Rattus norvegicus: one gene and its partner. Each later gene encodes a partner of the first gene's protein in a complex. Links are inferred from orthologs where the notes say so. Each region holds a gene or a part of one and is shown in the gene's direction. Other genes may lie near its edges.

What was found. The genes of interacting proteins can lie anywhere in the genome.
Region 2: Rrn3 (region 1) and Polr2k share a complex: the UniProt entries of both Homo sapiens proteins name them as parts of the pol I pre-initiation complex. The link is inferred for Rattus norvegicus from reciprocal best matches to the Homo sapiens genes RRN3 and POLR2K.

The regions. Positions count from the first base shown.
Region 1 is NC_086028.1:2,669,988-2,673,736, reverse strand, and holds the start of Rrn3 (RNA polymerase I-specific transcription initiation factor RRN3), read left to right. Parts: upstream 1-1,441; 5' UTR 1,442-1,447; coding exon 1,448-1,530; intron 1,531-2,853; coding exon 2,854-2,959; intron 2,960-3,749. UniProt on the Homo sapiens protein: Required for efficient transcription initiation by RNA polymerase I (Pol I). Required for the formation of the competent pre-initiation complex (PIC).
Region 2 is NC_086025.1:69,240,459-69,244,146, forward strand, and holds the start of Polr2k (DNA-directed RNA polymerases I, II, and III subunit RPABC4), read left to right. Parts: upstream 1-774; 5' UTR 775-857; intron 858-1,561; 5' UTR 1,562-1,570; coding exon 1,571-1,631; intron 1,632-1,968; coding exon 1,969-2,061; intron 2,062-3,688. UniProt on the Homo sapiens protein: DNA-dependent RNA polymerase catalyzes the transcription of DNA into RNA using the four ribonucleoside triphosphates as substrates.

The DNA.
Region 1 (3,749 bases):
CAAAATAAATGAAAATAAATATTAACAACAACAAAAAACAAAGCTTTCCTTGCTTCTCTTCTGGTTGACACTGGTTTTTCTTTTACAAATTTACATGTGGAGCACAATAGTAGAGCATTCACCTAGTGTGAACAATGTTCTGGAATCTATCCTCAACATCCTAAGAAAAGTATGCTGGATAGCAAACTCTCTAAAACTGCCTAAAGATTTATTTGATGTGTTTGGGTGTTTTGTATATATCTCTGTGTGTCCCTGCTGTGCTCACAGAGGTAAAAGAACCCCTGGGACTGGGGACTGCAGCCAGAGACAATTGTGAACCATCATGTAAATGCTGGGAATCCAACCAGGATCCTCTTTTGTTGTTTTGGAGACAAGCTCTTTTTTTTTTAATTGCCCTGGCTGTCCTAGAAGTCTAAACTAGCCTCAGATTCAGAGATCTGCCTTCCTGTCCCTCCTCTGCTGAGATTAAAGGTGGTGTGTACCACCATGCCCAGCTAAGGTGTGTACCACCATGCCCAGCCCCCAGCCTGGGTTTCCTTGGCCGTGGTAATATCCGTCTAACTCTCTCCTCTGTTTTTCACCACAGTCTCCATGTAGCCTAGGTCTGCCTCAGAACTGTGTAATACGTGTTTCGCACAGAGTAAGGTCTAAAATATGCGTCTAAAATAATGTACAGATCTTGTATTTTGTTCAGTCAAATCTCTCCACCGTGAAGACAATTTCTTTGATTTAAACAAATATGTACACGTGGGTTCTTGAATGTTCACAGAGGTCAATGCACAGTGTGTTTGCCAGAAAGGCAAGGTTGGCCGGTCAGCGAGTCCCAGAGATCCTTTTATCTCTACCTCTCCAGTGCTGGCATTACTATTACTATTATTATTATTATTATTATTATTATTATTATTATTATTATTATTATTATTATTATATCAGTACACTATAGCTGTCTTCAGACACACCAGAAGAGGGCATCAGATCTCATTACAGATGGTTGTGAGTCACCATGTAGTTGCCGGGGTTTGAACTCAGGACCTCTGGAAGAGCAGTCGGTGCCCTTAACCACTCACTGAGCCATTTATCCAGCCACCAAGTGCCAGCATTACTAACATCAAACTGTGCTTTTTACCTGGGTAACTCAGGCCCTAATATTTTACCCATTGGCTGCCTCCACTTCCAGTACCAGGGTTACATGCGCACACCACTATGGCAAGCTTCTTTCTGAAGGCGGTTCTGAGAAACCCGGCCACTGTTGGCCCCGCCTAGCTGTGCCCGCCTGTTCTTAGGGAAGCTTCAGACAGCTTAGGGCCAGGCGAAAGTCTACTTGCCTTCTAGCTGCGATCGTTCCGCTCGCTCACATGGGCCGCATTCGGCTCCCCCAGCGCGACTTCCGGGGCGGGCAGGCCGTGGCTTCCGGCGCAAGGCCCAGCGATCTCTCTGCCTAGGCCGAATGGCGGCCCCGCTGCTCCACACGCGCTTGTCGAGCGACGTGGCGGCTACGGGCTCTGCCACGCTGAGTGCGTCGCGGACTGGGTAAGATCTGGACGACCTCCGCCTGCGTGTGCGGGGCTCGAGCCGGCTGAGAGCGCTCGGGGTGTGACTAGGGCTCGGAGGGGTCCTGGCGTGCGGGCTTGGCCCAAGTGCGCAGGAGCCACTGGTCCTCTCTGCCCGGGCGAAGCTGCGTTAGCGAGTCTTGTCTGTTCCATTGTCTTCCACTCACTCTTGGGGGCACCCTTTTGGGACTATAGGCAAATCGTCCGCTCCTTTTTTCTTCCCTCTCTTGGCTAAGACGTGGACGGCATTTCCAGGGTTTTGTATATCCAGGGGAAAGCTGTCACTGGAGACCTATTGAATCGCCAAAATTTTGTTTGAAATTTGTTTCTGCAGAAGCGAGCAGTAGCATAGTGGAACCATATATTACCATATATTATCTAAGCAATCGGTTTTTTGGTTTTTTTGGTTTTTGGTTTTTTGTTTTTGCCTAACATTTAAAAATGCCTATTCCTATAAAACATTTGGAAGCTAATCTAAACAAAGTAAACCTTGTACAGAATAATAATAGTTGTTTATGAAGTATGTACATGCTGTGTTAAGAAGACACTGGGGACATTAGCTTATCCAGAGACTAATGTTCTCATACTCAACAGAACTGGAGGTGGGGAAGTGGGGGTGGGCAATAAACGGATAAGATAGTTTCAGGTATAGTTTCAGTAAATGCTGTGAAGAACTACAACTTTACAGCAGGATAAATAAAGGGTGAGTGTGAGAGGTTCTGGTGAAAAAGGCCTCTGACATTTGAGCTCCAGCCTTGTGTGTGTGTGTGTGTGTGTGTGTGTGTGTGTGTGTGTGTGTGTATGAAGGGTGTTTCTAACAGTGAGTAGCAAGTGGAATGGGAACCAGCTTGACAAGTTTGAGGAATAAAAAGGACATCATACTTTTAACAAACGATTGTATCATGACATCAGAGTTAGGAAAGGTGGATGGTTAAACAGGATCTTACAGGGTTAATATAGGAATACAGAGGTTTTTTTTTTTTAATTCTATTTTTTCCCTTCCCTTACTCTTAAAAAAAATAAAATAAAATTTGAGATCTCACTCTGTAGCCTAGGTCTGCCTCATCTTCCCAAATGTTGCTTTCTAAGTATTAGGAGTTTGAGTTTGAATTCTTATTGTAAGTGCTGCAAGAAGACAGTTTTAGTGAGTGAAGAGTGGATTCGTGGGGGAGAAGGTTGGAAGCAGGTATATATATCATTTAAGAAACTTAAACCTCATCACACAAAATGATGTTGGTTTAGTAATGCTTACTGTTGTCATTCTCTGTCATGAATTTAACAACTGGTATTCCTGGTTCTTCAGGCTTTCAAACATGCTTGCATTAGAGAGTGATTTCTTCAGTTCTCCCCCAAGAAAAACTGTTCGGTTTGGTGGAACTGTGACAGACGTCTTACTGAAGTACAAAAAGGTATGAGGAGATCTGGGCTTTACCTTGATAGGGTTTGGTTTAATGGGTGCTATACTGAAGAGCAAACTATCAAGACTTTGCATTCCTCCTGAGTACACCCCCAAAGCAAACAAACACAGCAGTAACAGAACAAGGTGAACTTTAGTGTTTATGTGTGCATTTATGATTTACGTTTCTCAGTGGTGGGCACTGGAACTAGAACCTTGTCCACACCAGGAAAACAGTTCTAGTTGAGCTCCGTCCTTAGGCTAAAGATAAATTTCACTCCGGGCTTGGTGGCTTGTGCCTTTAATCCTAGCATTTGAAGGCAGCAGGTGAATCCCTGAGTTTGAGACTAGCCTCTGTCTAAAACAGAGGTTCTCAACTTTCCTAATGCTTTGACCCTTTTAATACAGTTTCTCATGTTGCGGTGACCCCCAACCATAGAATTATTTTCTTTGCTACTTCATAACTGTAATTTTGCTATGGTTATGACTTATAATGTAAGTATCTGTGCTGTCTGATGGTCTTAGGCGACACCAGTGAAAGGGGTTCAGTCCCCAAAAGGGTAGACATCCACAGGTTGAGAACTGCTAGACTAAAAAGATGGAATGGAGGGAAATATTTAGTGAATATTTAGTGAAATAGAATATTTAGTGATGTGCATGATTCTGTAAGCTTAAAGGTAACCAAAACAAGTGTGGTGAGGTTTAAGACTTAAAATGCCGTATATATCTTGAAAACTAGCAAGTGCTAAAATTAAAGAAGTTAGAGTAACTGTTGTTCGTTTGTGTAGCCCTGTCTGATGTCT
Region 2 (3,688 bases), on another chromosome or scaffold:
TGTGAAATAATTGAGTGTAAACGTCCTGAACCCAACAGATTTTTACTGAGTTAAAAGTTTGATCTGTGAGAACACATACCACCTGTACTCTATTGAATTGATCAAACACAAGAGGGAGAATACTACGAGAAAAGCTAAAGCCACCAACTAGTGGAAGTAATTGATGGAGTTGTCCTTGTGAAAACCTTAGTTGTGAAAACCTTGGCTTCAAAAAGGAAGATGGGCAGGCGTTGTGATTTGCGCAATTAATTTCAGCATTGAGGCGGCGAAGGTAGAGAACTGCGCCGGTTTAAGAGCAAGCTCAGCCTGGGCTACATAGACTATCAAGCCTCGGGCTTCCCCTATCATTCCATTCCCCAACATAAAATAGAAGAGAGGTGACAAGAAACTAAGAAAACTGGAATTTGAAAACAACAAACAAACAAAAACCTGCATGGGTATTGAACAATTTGAAAACCGTGATATTGGGAAGTGAAGTGTTGGTAGGGTGGCCTGCTGGTGTTCGCCCAAGCAATGGCTGGGTTAAGATTCCAGCAGCACCTGTTTTGGCTTCCTGCTCTATCTGCCGTTACACAAGCACAGACTCTCGAACGCCGAGCTGTGGGAATGTTTTGCTACCCTGGAGAGAGGGGCAAATCAAAACAAAATCCTACAGGAATTAAGGAGAGAAACACTATAAACCAGTCCCCAACAAGCGCCCTAGTTCTTCGGTACTGCCAGGCAGAAAGGGACAGGGCTTTTGCGTCATAAGTCAGCGCCGGAAGTTGGCGAAGCAGCGCCGGTAGTGTCTCTTGCTTCTAAGAGCCGGAGAAAGCGTTTGCGTGCACAGAGGAGGGACGCTTTCCGGAGCTGCGGAGGTAAGGGATCGGCGGGTGATTTGGGAGGTAAATTGGAGGCAAAACTAGGAGAGACACCTGGCTTTAAAATATCCCTGGACGACCGAGAGCGGTAGCACACGCCTGCCATCTGAGCGCTTGGGAAGCAGAGGTAGGAGAATTCTGCCATCAACAAGCACCTTGACTTTCAATCTAAGGCTACAAAGTGAGTTCTCGGCTAACCTGAATTACAAAGTGAAGACTCTCAAAGCCTTCTTAAAGAACCAAATGCGAAAATAAAGATCCCCGGTGGAGTTAATGTTGAGACAAGCTTTGACGGAGCTACTGCTCCCAGCTCAAATCGGAATTCCTTTGCGGAGTGATACTGGACAAACCAACATGTCCTTAGCCTCCGTTTCTTCGTGTGTAATACCCTCTAGGATCCTGAAGAGTAATAAACATTCATAATGTATTTACTATTGTTGAAAATGTGCTGTATCCTTCAGACCCAGCCCACATCACTGTTTAGGGGAAGTAGATAATTACTTTTTTTTTTTTTTTAATTTCCCCATCCGTAATATTGGGTATTGATTCTTGGGCTTCTGCACACTAGGCAAACATTCTACTGAGGTTTTCCTCTTTGGTCGGAAAATCAGAACCTCGTATAGCTTCTGAGAAAAAGATAAATCAAATGGGGCATGTTTTGTGCGAAGGCCCTGTTACTCAGTCTTTGGCTCTCATTTCAGGCACGAACAATGGACACCCAGAAAGATGTTCAACCACCAAAGCAGCAGCCAATGATATATATTTGTGGAGGTAAGATTAACATTTAAATAATGCTTTACTTAGGAACGCCCCCCCCTCCCATTAAAAAGAATCCTTCCATACATGAGTACAAATCTTTAAAATTATAACGTGGAGCACTTTAGCGATTGTTAATTTTAAAATCCCTCTACCTTATTAAGATTTCTTCCTTTTATCTGGAAAAGGTGTACTGCCTACAGCTCTTCTTTCTCCTTGGTCTGTTCAGTAATAAGAATGTACTTGGATGTTTTGGTGCCCTGGTTTCCTCCTGTTTTTAATATGTTGTTACTGTTTGCTTCCCTGGAGTGTTTCTCTTTCAGGCTTTGAATAAATGTGCTTTCTTTCCCAGAGTGTCACACCGAAAATGAAATAAAATCCAGGGATCCAATCAGATGCAGAGAATGTGGATACAGAATAATGTACAAGAAAAGGACTAAGAGATGTATCCTTTTAAGTATACTTTTTAAATGTGAAGAGGAAGTAACTAATACTTGGGTTGATAAAGACTAAGATCTGGGGCTGGAGAGATGGCTCAGTGGTTAAGAGCACTGACCACTCTTACAGAGGTCCTGAGTTCAAGTCCCAGCAACCACATGGTGGCTCAACCACCTAGTAATGGGATTTGATTCCTTCTGGTGTGTCTGAAGACAGTGACAGTGTACTCACATACATGAAATAAATAAATCTTTAAAAAAAAAAAGACTAAGATCTGATCAAAGTAGTAATAACTTTTGGATTATTTTTTAAGCAGAGTGCATGTGGACTTATTGAGAACTGAAAGAGTGGAGCCTCCACAGGAGGTATACCCAGATTAATTATTTTAATAGGATTTATTTTTCCCAAAACTTGTGGGGTAGAGACAGGCAGCTCCTTGTGAATTCCAGGCCAGTCTGGTCTACACTTAGGATTCCAGGCCAGCTAAAGCTACTTAGTGAGACCCAGTCTCAAAGGACCAACTAGGGGCCTGAGAGCTGGATCTGCAGGCAGGAGCATTGCTGCTTTTTCAGAGGGCCTTAGAACCAACATGATTGCTCACAATCACAGGTGGTCGGATAGGCCGACCTCTGACCTACCAGTGCGCGGGACCCAAATGGTACATACATGCATACAGGCAAAAGCACTTGTGCATAAAATAAACCTGAATAAAACAAATTTTAAAACCCAGTAAATACATTTTTAATTCATTTATTAAGGTTATCACTGGCCTTCCTAAACCTCTGTGGCCTTATACTGGCTAGTTTTGAAGGCCAACTTGACACAGGCTGGAGTTATCACAGAAAAGGAGCCTCAGTTGTGGAAATGCCTTCGGGAGACCCAGCTGTAAGGCATCTTCTCAACTAGTGATCAAGGAGGGAGGACCAAGCCCATTGTGGGTAGTGCCATCCCTGGGCTGGTGGTCCTGGGGTTCTATAAGAAAACCAGCTGAGCAAGCCACGGGAGGCAAGCCAGTAAGTAACATCCCTCCATGGCCTCTGCATCAGCTCCTGCTTCCTGACCTGCTCGAGTTCCAGTCCTGACTTCCTTTGGTGATGAAACAGCAATGTGACTGTGTAAGCTGGATAAACTCTTTCCTCCCCAACCTGCTTTGTGTCATGATGTTTGTGCAGGAACAGAAACCCTGACTAAGACAGGCCTCAAACTCAGAGATCCACCTATCCCCGCCCACCACCTCTACCCCCCAAATCCGGGATTAAAGACATGTACTCCCAAGGCCTGGCAGAGGTTTTTATATAAAGTAAATGTGATTAGCATTTTCATGTACCATTCATTATGGGCTTTCAGTAATATAAAAACTAGTTGATAAGTCTTTTTTACTTTTCAGGAAATCTTTGTTTTTAGTAATAGTCATTGTTGGTTATTAGTTTATGAACAATATAAAGTACGGAAGAAGAGATTAATAACAGTGGAAAATAGTGAGGCCTACAAATTGTTTCATGGTAACGGACACAAACTCTTAAAAGTCATCAATTGTTTCAGTGAGTTTTTTTAATTTGTGTTTATTTTTAATACTACTTATATTAATATATGTTACATTATTAATTTATATTATCTTGTATCCAAAAAAGTAA